Linked DNA regions of Oryctolagus cuniculus. The protein of the gene in region 1 purifies or fractionates together with the protein of each later gene. This does not show direct contact. Links are inferred from orthologs where the notes say so. Each region holds a gene or a part of one and is shown on either strand. Other genes may lie near its edges.

Evidence for each region.
Region 2: the proteins of THEMIS (region 1) and PTPN11 purify together in Homo sapiens (co-immunoprecipitation; 3 studies listed by BioGRID and IntAct, counting the BioPlex papers as one, with this or other methods). This does not show direct contact. The link is inferred for Oryctolagus cuniculus from reciprocal best matches to the Homo sapiens genes THEMIS and PTPN11.

Annotation. Positions count from the first base shown.
Region 1 is NC_091436.1:41,531,409-41,539,686, reverse strand, and holds the start of THEMIS (protein THEMIS), read right to left. Parts: upstream 4,914-8,278; 5' UTR 4,709-4,913; coding exon 4,618-4,708; intron 1-4,617.
Region 2 is NC_091452.1:9,790,130-9,797,614, forward strand, and holds part of PTPN11 (tyrosine-protein phosphatase non-receptor type 11), read left to right. Parts: intron 1-3,015; coding exon 3,016-3,147; intron 3,148-4,473; coding exon 4,474-4,640; intron 4,641-5,958; coding exon 5,959-6,026; intron 6,027-6,492; coding exon 6,493-6,644; intron 6,645-7,485. UniProt on the Homo sapiens protein: Acts downstream of various receptor and cytoplasmic protein tyrosine kinases to participate in the signal transduction from the cell surface to the nucleus. Positively regulates MAPK signal transduction pathway. Dephosphorylates GAB1, ARHGAP35 and EGFR.

The sequences.
Region 1 (8,278 bases):
GCAGATCCGAAGGTGAAAGTAAATAATGGAATTTCTAGAAGATAATACAAAGTATTTTCATTAACTTAGAATAAAGAAATGTTCTTGACAGTACACTGAATGTAAAATAATTAAAAAATGATAATACTAACACTAAAATTAAGAACTTCCATCTATCAAAAGACACCATTAAGAAAATGAAATTTCAAGAAACAAACTGAATGACATTTGCAAATCACATAACAGACAGTGTGCCAAATAGTACATGTAAATTTTACCAAAATAAAACTAAAACTAAAACTGTGATGCAGCACTAAACTCTCACTAGAATGACTGTAAGTAAGCCTGGTGACATCAAGTGTTAGTTGGCAAATGGATTAACTGGAAGTGTCAGATTCTCACAGTGGGAATGTAAATCTGACTACTTAGAAAACTTGTTTTTCATTACCTAGCAAGTCTGAACATACACATACACTATGACATAGAAACTCCACTTGTTTTTATACCTAGCTGAGTTCGTGTAATTGTGAGTACACATGAATAAGAATTTCATGATAACGTGGAAATATTTGGAAATAATCCAAATGCTCAAATGGAATAGAGTGGATAAATAAATTGTGATAATATTTCTAAAAAGGAACATTATATGTACTGAAAATTAATGAACTATATACAGCAGTATAGACTATTTTTATAGATATAATGACAAACATTTTAATCAGGACAGAACACCTACCATGATTTTCCATTTATATAAAATTCATAATGAACCAAAATCATGATAGTGAATAACTTGGGGGAACAATCAAAGATGATAATTGCAAAAGGGCACAAGTCAGGGCTTCTAGAACACTTGTAATTCTCTATTTCTTCATCAAGGTATCGATTACATGAATTTGCTTGCTTTGTGAAAATTCATCTTAATTGAAGTGTAACATAATATATTAATAAAGTATGAAGATGTTCTGAAAACATGGAGAGACATACTATGTTCTTTTGTAAGACCATATAAAAATGTCAGTTCTACCCAAATTTATTTAGAAAATCAACCCAAGCAAATAAGAATTCCTGCTGAATTTTTTTACTAATCAGTAATGTTTTTGAAAATATGCTTAATCCTCCCCCTGTGGCACCTGCATCCCATATGGGCACCGGTTCTAGTCCCAGCTGTTCCTCTTCCAATTCAGCTCTCTGCTGTGGCCTGGGAAAGCAGTAGAAGATGGCCCAAGTCCTTGGGACCCTGCACCCAAATGGGAGATCAGGAAGAAGCTCCTGGCTCCTGGCTTCAGATTGGCCGACCATTGCGGCCAACTGGGGAGTGAACCAATGGATGGAAGACTTTCTCTCTTCTCTCCCTGTCACTGTCTGTAACTCTACCTCTCAAATAAATAAATAAAATCTTAAAAAAAAAAAGCTAAATCAACTTAGAAAAAAATAGTGAAAACAAGGGAAACAAAGGAATGGTCCATATAATGATCATATCACTTATTCCACCATTTAAAGAAATAGTGAGATTTTGGGCACAATTATGAAATAAAAGACTAATGTAATTTCAGAGACAGATTGACACAGATGGGAACATTTAATAAGAGTTATAGGTAGCAACACAAGTCAGTAAGGGAAAGATGGCCAGCTAAATCAATGGTGCTTGGATATCAGGTTAATCACGTAGAGAAAAGTAAAATTGGGTCCCTGTAAACCTCAGGGCAAAGTACTGTCCAATTGAACCAAATTCTAAATGCAAACTACGAAACCATAGAGTTGTTGTAAACTAATGTAATAAAAAGCCTTTGTTCAACAGAGACATAAAAAACGCTCAGGATCACTAGTCATCAGGGAAATGCAAATTAAAACCACAATGAGGTTTCACCTCACCCCAGTTAGAATGGCTCTTATATAGAAATCAACAAACAACAAATGCTGGTGAGGATGTGGGGGAATAGGTACCCTAATCCACTGTTGGTGGGAATGCAAAGTGGTGCAGCCACTGTGGAAGACAGTATGGAGTTATCTCAGAAATCTGAATATAAACCTACCATACGACCCAGCTACCCCACTCCTGAGAATGTATCCAAACTAAAAGAAATCAGATATGAAAGAGTGATCTATATCCCCATGTTTATTGCAGCTCATTCACAATAGCTAAGATACACAATCAACCCAGATACACAATCAATCCTGATGTCCATTATCTAAAGACTAGATAAAGAAATTATGGTATATATACACTATGAAATACTACTCAGCCATAAAAAGGAATGAAATCCTGTTTTTTTGGTAACAAAATGGATGAAACTAGAAACCATTTTACTTAGTGAAATAAGCCAGTCCCCAAAAGACAAAAACCATATATTCTCTCTGATCTGTGGTAACTAATAGAGTACCTAAAAGGTAATGTACAAGAGTGAAATTGACACTTCAAGATGCCATGATTTTAAACAGCCTTGTCTTGACTGTTGAGGAAAAGTGTTTTTTTTTTTTTTTCCTGAATACTATTTGTTGAATTCTTGATGTAGGATTAATCTTATGAGTGTAAAGTTAACTGAAGATAGATCTTTGCAAAAATATAAAAATGAGAATAGGAGAGAGAGATGCAAGAAGGGTGGGAGTGCAGGTGAGAGGAAGGGTAGGGAGGGAGGAATTACTATGTTCTTAAATTTGTACATATGAAATGCATGAAATTTGTATTCCCTAAATAAAAATTTTTAAAGCCTTTGTAACCTAGGCATGAAGAAAGACTTTTGACACAAAGCCTCCAATGCACAAAGCATGAGTTAAGAAAAGATTTGGAGCTGCTTTAGAAACAGAGACACTTATAATACAGTATTGGGACAAAATTCGATCTGATTTTAAATAATCAATTTACAATTGAATTAAACAAATTCCTATACTGAGTTGTAATAGCCTGTGTCAATCCACTGCCTGCAGGGCATATGAAGTTGAAGCAGGGTGTGGGGAGAGTAATGTAAGGATTGTTCGTGCCTATGCATACGACCCAAAGATGACATGTCCATCCTTCTTTTATTTCATCATTTAATAGACACACTTTGACTCATAATTGGATTATATCTGGATAAGCTGATTGTTATATTGAAAACACAGTTACATCAAAAATGTACTTAATACATCCAATATAACATCATAGCTAAGCTTTCCCCACCCTAAATGTGCTCAGAATTTTGAACTGCCTACAGTGATATAAAATTATTGAACACAAAATTTACTTTATAATAAAATGTTAAAATCTCAGGTTATTGAATGTTATATTGAGAGTGTAAAAACAGAACAGTTGTATGAGTATGCTTTTGTACCATTGTGCAGGAAAATCAAGTCAAGCCTTGTAAGTTGAACCATGTTGATTAAGAGAATGTGTGTACATTCTTCTATCAATGAACAGGAAAATAAAAATAATGCTTTATTTTCCAAGATTAGACCTGAAACTCTTGCTTCAATTTCTTATGACTAGAAAGCTATATAAGGAAGTTTCCAAATATTCATGGCAAAGTGAAATTAAAATAATGTGCATTTTCTGTTAATTTTTGAAACCCTCTTATGTTTATCTAGAAAACGAATCATTGTTTTGCATAGCTAAAACTAACCTCATAAACACTCTCAAAAATTATTTGGATATTTTAATAATTATGTGAATTAACATACTGTAGTAAGTTACACCAAAACTCAGTCGTTTTTTATTCCATAATTATCAGTGGACTCTGATTTTCAGCAAAGATTTTGAAAAATAACCTTGTGATTCATAGAGATTAATTTCTATACCTTCAAATAAAAATTATCATTATTTAAGGAATTAAGAGTTAGGCCACTACAGAAAGCGAGAAAGAAATGTTGATACCAGCAATAGAAGTACTTAAGAGTTTGAAGAACATTTACTTCTACACTCTGTGCTTTTATTTCTCTTTCAATTATAAATGTGAGAAGTTTATTTCTCATAGTTCTGGAAGTTAGGAAGCCCAAGATCAAGGAGCCATACCTAGTGAGGGCTTTCTTGCTGTGGCATAAAATGGTGGAAGGGCAGCAAACATTTGAGGCAGAGCGCGGGCAAGAACTGTCACTCAAGAGAAACTTTTAAAACTAAGACTTGAGGATAAGCAATCCACTCCCATGATAATAACATTAATCTGTTCATTAGGGCAGGGTCCTTGTGACCCAAGTCCTCGTGACCTAATCATCTCTTTAAAAAATCTCACTTAAGTGCGTGTGAGAAAAGAATATATTATTATGTAGAGAATATACTTCAATGAAGACATATTTTAAAATATCTACATATCAAATAATACGGTATCCATGCATTTTTATGTGTTACAAACATAATTATTGATAACTTTAAACTTTTCACTATGGGTTACAGTGAATTTCAAAGAAAGCTCAACCTTGATTTGCCATCATGTGAAAACCACTGAAAGCCTACAAAAAGTTTAAGATGTGCTCAATCCCTTCTCCCTTCCCACCTGGAGTCCTCTCTAGGGTCTCCCTTCTCTAACACTTTTGAGCCTTGACCATTCATCAGTTAATTACCTTTTCCCTTTCTGCTATGGAACTCATACTCTTTACCAGAATTCCCCCCACAAATTCCCACTTAGAAGTACTTTCTAGCCAGGCAAGGAATTAGAGAGTGCTTACCTTCAAAATAGATGCCTGACTGGATTTCTAGGACTCTGGGGAGGGTCCTGAGATCAAGGGAGTGGATGAATTCTTCCAGAGATAAGGCCATCGCTCTGCCTTGGGTTGGTGCGGACCTGGACTTGAAGAAATCTACAGCTTCGGGGTGTCACTTGCCTGCAGCGTCAGCCCTTGCTCATCATTCCTCCCCCAGGCATGCAGGGAACATCACACCAGAGCCTGTGGGTTCTAAGTGGGGACAGTAGGAAAGAGGGAGGAGACAGGAGACCGTGTTACAGCTCTTTTGTTCTTATTGTGGCTTCCTATCCTCCTGACACCCAAGTAGAACAGGATGGGGGTGGGGTAAATGCGTTGAACAGACACTGCCAAAAAAGCATGAGAACAGTTACTAGCCGCTGTGTTGCTGTCCAGGTGTGTATCTATAGCAATGGCAAACCCACGTTTGGAGTTGCTTATGGCTTATCCATCAGAAAAGAACAGGAAAGTAGTACCGAAATCTAAACTTAAAAACGGCACCACATTAATTCATTATTTCTCTAGCTCATTTGTAAAGTGTGGCTTTGGGCCTTATTTGCATACTGTCAGTGGTTTTATATTAAATTTGGTTGTGAAAGTGCTTTGTGTCAGCTCTTTTCAGAAATCTGATACTCTGGAGAGAGTACTGAAACCATTTTTAATTCTTCCGCATTAGAATTTTGCTGAATCTTAAAGGAAGGTTGGGGGCAGGGCAGGGGATACAATGAGCAAAGTGATATACTACATTAAAATTGTAAGGCAATATGAATTTTAGAATCTCCACATTATAGTGGAAAGTGCTCCAGTCACTTGTTAGAAAACCTGTTTCCTGGATTTAGCTCTACTTTTGATTTATAGACTGACTTGGTCCTTGCCTTCTCTGATCCTCATTTGCCTCATTCACTACCTGTAGAAAAAGTACAAGGAGTCAAATGAATTGTGTAACTAATTCCAAGTCCAAAATTAAATAATTCTGATCCTATAGCCCAAATTTAGGGAGAAAAAAATGCCCAACTTCAAAGGCAGAGAGGAAACCTCATGAAAACCAATCTCTTAAAAATTCTCCCGACTTGGGGCTGGTGTTATTGTATGCTCAGTTAAGCTGCCACTCACATCGCTGGCATCCCATATCAGAGCACCCATTCAAGTCCTGGTTACTCCACTTATAATCCAGCTTCCTGCTAATGTCCTTTGGAAGGCAAAGATGGCCCAGTCACCCTTGTATGAGATCCAGATGGAGTTCCTGGCTTCTGGTTTTGGCTTGGCCCAGAGTTTATAGTTGTAGCCATTTGTGGAGTAAACTAGCAGACACAAACTTCTCTCTCTCTCTCTCTCTATCTCTCTCTCTCTTTCTCTCAATCTGTCACTCTGCCTTTCAATAAATAAATAAATCTTTAAAAAATTATCTCCCTCTATGTTCTCTGTGTCTAACTAAAAGAAACAGTATGTTAGAGCTACAGTGCACAATTCAAAATGATATTTTCTGTTTTTAAGGAAAATTGATTGGTATAGATACAGCGGAAAGGTGCCAGGAAGCTGCATGTTCTCCTTATAAATTAGACTCCAGACTACCTATTTGGTGTAGCCCTAGACTGCAGAATAAATAGGTAAAGAGAGTCAGGGTCATCCCAGCTTGGTCATATTCTGCATGGAGGTGACTAGGAATAAAAATATAGCCTTGTTTTTATAAAGTGCTTATAAAACTCTTTCAATTCTTTATAATAATATTTTACATTTATAATATTCTGCTAGAATTTATTTCTTTCTTATCAAAACTAGAATTTATGCCCGGTTACATCAACAGATTTTCCCACAATAACTCTACTTGCAACATTTTTTGTATCAAAATCTCCCAAACCTGGGAAGTCCACTCCCCAAGCTTAGGTTCTTCAATCAACTACAAAAGTTACTTATAGTTGGCCGGCGCCACGACTCACTAGGCTAATCCTCCACCTGGCGGCGCCGGCACACCAGGTTCTAGTCCCGGTCAGGGCGCCGGATTCTGTCCCGGTTGCCCCTCTTCCAGGCCAGCTCTCTGCTGTGGCCCGGGAATACAGTGGAGGATGGCCCAAGTACTTGGGCCCTGCACCCATGGGAGACCAGGATAAGTACCTGGCTCCTGCCATCGGATCAGCACGGTGCGCCGGCCGCAGCACGCCGGCCGCGGCAGCCATTAGAGGGTGAACCAACGGCCAAAAAAAGGAAGACCTTTCTCTCTGTCTCTCTCTCTCACTGTCCACTCTGCCTGTCCAAAAAAAAAAAAAAAAAAAAAAAAAAAGTTACTTATAGCCTAACAGCATATTTCACATAGTAGATTATATGACAAGGACTGCTGCAGGCTGCTACTTAGACATCATATGTCCAGGGTCTGGCTCTGTGGTATAACGGGTAAAGCCACCACCTGCAGCACAGGCATCCTATATGGGCACCAGTTGGAGTTCCAGCTGCTCCTCTTCCGATTCAGCTCTCTGGTATGGCTTGGGAAAGTGTGTGGGCTCCTGCACCAGCATGGGAGCCCCGAAAGAAGCTCCTGGCTCCTTGCCCTGGGCTTCGATTCGGCACAGTTCCAGCCTTTGCGGCCAGTTGAGGAGTGAATCAGAAGTTGGAAGACCTCTCTCTCTCTGCCTCTCCTTCTCTCTGTAACTCTGACTTTCAAATAAAAATAAATAAATCTTTAAAAAGAAATCATATGTCCAGAGGCTGGAGTTCTGGCACAGCAGATTAAGCCATCACCTGGGATGCCGGCATCCTATTTGAGTACCAGTTCAATTTCCACTGCTCTACTTTTCATCCAGCTCCATGCTGATGTACCTGGGAAGGCAACAAAAGATGGCCCAAGTATTTATGTCCCTGCTATCTACTTGGGAGACCTAGAAGTAGTTACAGGCTCCTGGCTTCGGCCCATCCCAGCCCTGGCCACTGCAGCCATTTGGGAAATGAACCAATAGATGGAAGATCTCTTCCTCTCTCCCTCTTTCTCTGACCCTGCCTTTCAAATAAATAAAATATTTATTTAAAAGTCAAACATCCATTAGATACAGCAAATTCTAGTTAATATCTAGTCCATGCTGATTTCACTATTCTTTTAAATTCCAGGTGAATTTTTATCCTGTTAGGCAAAGCATCCATTTCACAAAATCAACAGTCTCTTACAATTTCCCATGCTACCCCTGATCTATTCTAACATGTGGTCCTCCCTCTCTGTTATAGCCTGCTTCTCTTGTTAGCCCAGTCTTAGTTAAAAACAATACCATTAACATTGTTACCCAAGCCAGGAGGCTTAGCTTCATATCAGGTGCTGTCTTTCCTCCACCATCCAAAGACCTCAAAGCCCTCTAGATGGAAATTCTCAACTGCACTCACTCTGTCCTTGATCTGAGTCCCCACTGCCACTACTTTAGTCCTGATCATGATCAATTCTGACACTACAGGTAAAGAAATCTTGCTATGAAAAGCCATGAAAAAAGTAAGAAACAATGTTGAAGAGACACTTGAACAACCAGGTAGTAAAATGAATTATTAAAACTTCAATCATTAAAATATCAGATTATGGGTACATCAGTCATGTTAACAAGAGTTCTGAATCAATTAGACCACATGCAATGATTTACTGTAGAAAAAGATGAAGTTGAAAAGCAGTAAGGAA
Region 2 (7,485 bases), on another chromosome or scaffold:
TATTTTTTAAAATGAAATGGTTCTGTTTTTGTTTGTGTTCTAATCAAAGATTTTTTTAGATGCCCTTTAATTGGCTTATGTAAGAATTACGTGAAATGTAGCAAGCACACCTCTGCCCAAGGCAGATGGGGGGACTTGGGATCTTAGCCCTCCCACATGTCAGTTTGATTGTACAAGGTTTCTGTGCCGTCCTCCGAGACGATACCCATCAGCCCACGTGAGAGGCCAGACCTGGTGAGCTGTGCGGCAGAGCTTGCCCGCGGCAGCTGCCTGCAGGCGATGGAGTGTTCTTGAATGAACGGACCTGTCCAGACTCTTCACAGTTCCTGCTTCGGGCGAGAGTTGCCTGTGCTACGTACGGAGAGACGCTGGAGGCCCTCTGTCCTTCTCCCCGGAGGCCGATGTGGGAGGCCGCCTGTCCTCGGGGTGGGGGGGGCTGTGGAGAGAGGCTCTCGCGTGGCCTCCGAGGAAGCAGTGGCAGTCCCCCTCAGAGCTGCTGCACACAGACCTGGGCCGGAGCGCTCGGCCGCATTCCTCACTGCCCCGCCCGGTCTCTGCCTGCTTTCCCACCCTCCCTCCTTGGTTTGGGGCCGCAGAGCGGAAGGCACAGCGAGCCTTTACCCTCTCCACTGGTCTTTCTGATGACCTTGGTACCCCCAGGACTCAGAGGAACACCAGACCCTGGACTCCTTTGGTTCCTGAGCTTCAGTTGAAAAGAACGTGTCAGCCCTCGTGTCTTAGAATCGGTCTCCGAGGTTTGTAGAGTCTGGGCAACCCGGGGGAGGGCTGCAGCAGTGCGCAGGCGCCTCAGGTCGGCTGGGACGGTCCAGGATCGTCGCCCGCTCCGTTCTGCCGAGTTCTCTGTGGTGACTGCAGTGTTCTCAGAACGGATTGTCCAGCAGTGGCATGGAGTACGTTGAGTACTCTTTGGGGAAAATAAACATTGTATCAGGAGTTGGTTTGATCTGCAGAGTACCAGAGGAGAGGCTGAATCCAGAATAGGAACAAGAGACCGCATCCTTGTGTTGAAACTTCCTCCTACCACGTTTTCTTTCAGGTAATCGTGGACTGTGACGATGTTAGCAGTTGCTCTCTTAACACGAGCTTTGTAACTAGTTTTTTTTTTTTTTTTCTTTTTAAAATAAAGCCATTTTAATTAATTGAGAGGCAAAGAGAGAGAGGGTGGGAACCAGAAGGAGCGTGCTTCTACCTGCAAGTTTATTCCTCCAAAGAACTACAGCAGCTGGGGCTGGGCCAGGGCTGAAGCTGGGAGCGGGGACTCAATCCACATCCCCAGGTGGGTGGGGTGGCAGGAACCCAGTTATCTGAGCCGTCCCCACTGCCTCCTAGAGGGTACATTAACGGGGAGCTGGAGTCAGGAGCTGCTGTGGGGAACTGAACCCAGGAATCCTGGTAGGGAAATGAGTCAGCCACGGGGCTCCATGCTTGTCCTCATAGCTGGGACTTTCTTCCTGATCTGCAAGATCCATTTCTCTTGCTGATATTTGTGCCTTGATGGCTTTAGGAAGTTTGTGGAATGGGCGACTGTCCCCAGAGAAAAACAAAACATAAAACCTTTCCCTGCCCGGAACCCATCAGCAGATAGATGCACACACACCTCCCATTGAGCAAAACGGCTCCCTTTTTGGCAGCGGAAACGGTTTCCTTGGTGCCGCGCTTTTCAGCTCGCCTGCTCCTGAAGCCAGCAGCGACCGCGGGCTGGGCACTCAGTTCAGGGGAAGTGACGCGCATAGTAGGTATCAGATGGGTCTGGGGATAGAAGAAGCAGTTGGGTCAAAGCCCCGTAGGCTGCCTTTCCGTGACAGAGCTGTTCACACTTGGGTGAGAGAAGGCCTCGAGTCCTCCTACACAGGTGCGGAAATGAACCAGACGGTCTGGCTCGGTGGGCAGCTCAGCCGCCTCCACATCCTTGTTTGCCTTGCCCTCAGAGTGACTGGCAGATCTCTAGGACTCCAGACTCCGTGGTGCTAGACAGCAACAAACTGGAGCCCCTCCCTCTCTGGGGCTTGTTCCCTTAGAGATGAGCAAGCGTGGACTCGCCTTTGACCGTGACTTGATGGGCAGCTCCGGGAGAGCCCGGTTCTCGTCCCACTTCTCTAAGCACCTGCTTTTCTTTCTTTTCTTTTCTTTTTCTTTCTTTCTTTCTTTTTTTTTTCTTTTCCTTTTTTTTTTTTTTTTTTTTTTTTTTTTTTTTTTTGACAGGCAGAGTGGACAGTGAGAGAGACAGAGAAAAAGGTCTTCCTTTACTGTTGGTTCACCCTCCAATGGCTGCTGTGGCCGGTGCACTGCGCTGATCCGAAACCAGGAGCCAGGTGCTTCTTCTGGTCTCCCATGGGGTGCAGGGCCCAAGCACTTGGGCCATCCTCCACTGCACTCCCGGGCCACAGCAGAGAGCTAGCCTGGAAGAGGGGCAACCGGGACAGAATCCAGCGCCCTGACCAGGACTAGAACCTGGGGTGCTGGTGCCACAGGCGGAGGATTAGCCTATTGAGCTGTGGCGCCGGCCCAGCACCTGCTTTTCTTCTTTGAGCCCTTCCTTCCTTATATTTTTATCTATTTATTTTCATTTTGTTTCAAAGGCAGAGAGAGTAAGAGAGAGTGAGTGTGTGTGTGTGAGGGAGAGAAGTCCTCCATCCCCATTTGACGCCACAAATGCCTGCAACAGTCAAGGCTGGGTCATGCTAAAGCCAGGAACCCGGAACTCAAGTCCGGGTCTCTCACATGGGTGGCAGAGCCCAAGGACTTGAGCTGTAATCTACTGCCTCCCAGCATCAGCCTTCTTGTGTTAGCAGGAAGCTGAATTTCCAGGAAGCAGAGTAGCCAGGGCTGGCACCCAGCTCTGACAGGGGCTGCGCTTGTCCCAGGTCGTGAGTTAACTGTTGAGCCACACGAAGAAGCCAGACGTGCCATTTCCCTGTTAGACTGTTTGCTGCCAGCCTAGGCTTTTGTTGGGAGCTCACGGAGGTTAACTGTCTTTTCTCTGGTCCCTTCCAGAGTAAATGTGTCAAATACTGGCCCGATGAGTATGCTCTAAAAGAATACGGTGTCATGCGTGTTAGGAACGTCAAAGAAAGTGCCGCTCATGACTATACCTTAAGAGAACTTAAACTTTCGAAGGTCGGACAAGTAAGTATATTGTCGTATTTTAGAGGCCGGGGCTCGTGGTGTGCAGTGGTCCAGGGTCCTGCAGCTACGCTTGTGTGCGTGCACTCCTGCCTGGCTTCACACATTGATTAAGTAGCCGTTGTTGGGATACCTTCTGTGTGCCAAGCACAGTCAGGCACTCCTGGTGCATGTGAACGAGACAGGCATGGCTGTGCCCTCCCAGTGCCTGGGGAGAAAGGACATTTAGAGTAAATTGAGCTCCCTGAGTTCAGTCTGTAGGGGCCCAGGGTGGTTGGTGTGTTCCTGAGTGACTGGGGCCTTGAGATGGAGTCCGTGGGGCAGGTCTCTCTCAGAGCTGATGTTCCAGGGTGGCCCCTAAACCAGGCAGCTCCACTGTCAGGGAGTGAGAGACCTGCCCCCAGAGTGGCTGCATGTCCACGCCCTGCACCTTGGAAAACGGTCAACAAGGTCTCTGCCCTAATTCTTCCTTCCTGGGCAGGGTGGAGCTTATGTGATGTTGCATGGCAGTGCTTTAGAGAAAATATAAAATTCTGTACAAAATAGAAACCACATTACCAGGATTCAGGAGAAACCAGCAGTCTTCCATCAGCACCTGCACCCAGGGTGCCAAACTCCTGGGCCAGTGTGCTACTGCAAAGGAGCTACGCGGGGAGGTGGCGGGGGGTGTGGGGGGTGTCCTGACAGCTACTCAGAAACCCGTGGTGATGAGAAGATGGGGCATTTGTCAACAGAACCGAAGATAAGCGTCTCCGGCACCTCGGTCTCTCATTTCTGCTTGGCAGCTACCTTTGTAATTGTCGCTTGCCTTGGGTTGTCCCCAGATATGCAGGGACTGGGTAGCCATGACTAGTGCCACTGCAGTGACCTGGGCTGGGCTGAGCACAGACATAATCCCCCTTGTCTCCTGCAGTCTCGGGGCCTTCGCTGTCTCTGTTTGCGATCCCTGTCCTCAGATCAGCCCTCGGGTGCTGGCCAGTGGCAGTGTGCCGCTGAGCTGTCCGTCCCCACAGTGGTATAGAGAGGCGGCGAGAGAGAGGTGATTCTTCACATTTTGCACATGGAGACATTGAGGCTCAGAGCTGCCCAAGGGCTGGAGTGAGTGTGAATATCTGGGGTTTGAGCCTAAACCTCCCCACCCGACTCCCAAAGTCTGTCTGCTTGGCTTCTTGGCACGGGAGCGCCCTGGAGACTCAAGTGGGCCTTTAGGTGGCGACTGAGCGCCGCTGGGCCCGCCAGCACCGGTGACTTCCGTAGCAGGTGGGAAAGCTCAGAACCGGGCGGCTCCTCCACCCCTTGATTTATTTAATTCGGTTCTGGTTTTTCTTGGCTCTACTCCAGGGGAATACGGAGAGAACGGTCTGGCAATACCACTTTCGGACCTGGCCGGACCACGGCGTGCCCAGCGACCCCGGGGGCGTGCTGGACTTCCTGGAGGAGGTCCACCACAAGCAGGAGAGCATCATGGACGCCGGCCCGGTCGTGGTTCACTGCAGGTGACAGCCCCTGCCCCTCCTGCCGCAGCCTGTGCCTGCCCCCCAGGGCTGCTTTCACCGGCCATCCCTGGCAGTTTACCTGTGCTTAAGGCCTGAACAGGCTGCAGTAGGGATGCTCGCTTCCTACAGACCCTGCAGGACTGCGGGGTCGGGCTGGTGGGCGGGCTGGACACAGCCCTTGTTCTCACCGACGCCCCGTCTAGTGCTTCTGACTACGTTTTCTTTTGAAATCCAGTAATTTAGGGTCCATCTCTTTGTGATTCTGTTCTCTTCCGCTGAGGAAGTAAGAGATGAAGGGTGTTCACCGAGTTAGTGGAAAATGCATGTTCTAAAATGCTGTGTGTAGATTTCACAATTTTTCTTTGCACCCAAGGAAACTTATCTTTTAGCTCCACTTCCCACAAACTTTTTGATGTCCCCTCACGTATTTTCCCCGACCCTGTCCTTGTGCTTATTTGCTTCAAAAGATTCCAACTGCTTCGTGCCGAGGCCTTTGATGGAAGCCGAGCCCTGCACCAGAATGTGCTGGCTGCTGGTATCCAAGTCTGCGCTTCGTGATTGTACTTGGGGAAGTCTGATTTCCTAATCTCATTTGTGTGTTGGACAAGTAGATGTGTGAGAGGACTTACTTGTTCTGTTTTTTAAAAAACTGCCATTTATTGTCCTAACCTCTGAATTAAGTGCTTTTCCTACATTATTATTTTTTAAAAAAAATTATTTATTTGAGAGGCAGAGTTACAGAGTAGCAGAGGCGGAGAGAGAGAGATCTTGCATCTGCTGGTTCACTCCCCAAATGGTTGCAAGGGCGGGAGTTGCGCTGATCTGAAGCCAGGAGCCAGGAACTTCTTCCTCGTCTCCCACATGGGTGCAGGGGCCCAAGGACTTGGACCATCTTCCAGGCCACAGCAGAGAGCTGGATTGGAAGTGGAGCAGCCGGGACTCGAACTGGCACCCATATGGGATGCCGGCACTGCAGGCTCAGTGCTACCTGCTACGCCACAGCGCCGGCCCCCCTCCATTATTATGTCTTATCCTCACCGTAGTCTGTGAAGCATTGCTGTTGTCCCCATTGCACAGGAGGGGACACTGCAGGGCTTGCCTCAGGCACACGGTACTGGAGAAGTTGGGCTTTAAGCCCTGGTTGGCTGATGGCAAAGCTCTGTGTTCGTTGCTAATATATCTTCAGATATAAACATACTATGTTATAAGTACTCCCAAGAGCAGATATTGTTTCTGTTAATATTAATAGCTTGGTTTTTGGGTATAAAACTCCCGTGAGTGATTCCACTCTCCCTGCGTCTTGTCCTTCTGCCCACAGTGCTGGAATCGGCCGGACAGGGACGTTTATTGTGATTGATATCCTTATTGACATCATCAGAGAAAAAGGTAGGTCTCCCGGAGGGCCAGAAGCTGCAGCTCCGGCTGTTAGTTCCTGGAAGGAAGGCGCTGGGGAAGGGAATTCGAATGTGAAAGCGTCTCACGGAAACGGGCTGGCACTTCTGCTTTCAGTTCACGTGAGAACGGAAGTTGTGCTGTGTGAGCTTTTGGCCTCAGATGCAGCCCAGGAGCTGAGGACCCTACTGCCACGGCCTTTGTCGTGAAGGCAGTGGTGGGTTCCTACCCAGCTCCCGAGTGCTGGCTTACAGGACTGGAAAGGGGAGTCGGAATCCTGGTGTCTGACACGTTGCCGTCTTCCTGGGTCGCTGGGGTTGGGCCACAGCCCAGGGGAACGTGCTCAGCTCGCACCTTAGCGAATCTGCCTCCTCTCGCATCTGCTAAGAGCTGGATGTGGACGAGCTTCTCGCTGACCCTGCAGTCTCCTAATGCTTCGTGGTGGTTGGTTGCTTTGCAGGTGTTGACTGTGACATTGACGTGCCCAAGACCATTCAGATGGTGCGGTCTCAGAGGTCAGGGATGGTGCAGACAGAGGCGCAGTACCGCTTTATCTACATGGCTGTCCAGCATTACATTGAAACACTACAGCGCAGGATCGAGGAGGAGCAGGTACAAGCCAGGAGGGGCTGGCGTGCAGGTTTTCACATCCTCTCCGGGCAGCCTGGGGGTGCTTTCCTCCTGAGCGGGGCCCCAGGCTCTGATAGGCACCTGTGCTTATTTGGGGGTGGAAACAAGTACCCACCTAGAAGGGCTTCCTGGAAGCAGTAGTTAGTTGCCACTCTGTTTGGTACAGAGGCACCCAGGGAGGGGCCCGCCAGGTGGAGCAGCTGCCGTGCCATGCCTGCGATTTTCCCAGGCTCACGTGGCAAGCTCAGCCCTCAAAGCCTTGGTGTTTCCAACCTGTTCCAGCTTTGATCCAGGCCATGTTTATTCTGATTCCATCTTCTAAAATGAATGCCTCACTCTTAATAGCGCACAGTGGTTTGAACTACTAATTTGGTCTAGTTGGAAACAGTGAAATTTCAGTTTTAATAAGCTGTGCATAATGAAGAAGGATGCGGAATTGGCACCTTTCCATTTGAAGCTTTTCATAACAGACACAAAACTGTGTTAATGAGGAACCTGCTGAAACGAGAGGAGGGAGGAGAGGACTGCTCCTTTGGGGAGCTGTGCCCGCCCCCTCTCCGAGCCCCCTCAGCCCTGTTGCTGTGCTGCAGATGGGGAGACGTCTAAACATCAGTGCCATTTGCCTGCTCCTCTCTGTTTAGTGCCTTCCAGAAAACTGTGTCTCAAACAGGGACCCGCCACCTACTTGAAATATCCAGTGGGATAGCAGCCACGCTGTCAATGTTGGCTTAGCCAGCGTAAGGCACCTGTGAATGAGTGTAGTGAATTCTCAGTCCACAGGGAGACACTGGATTGTTTAATTGTACAGAAGCAGCATATATAG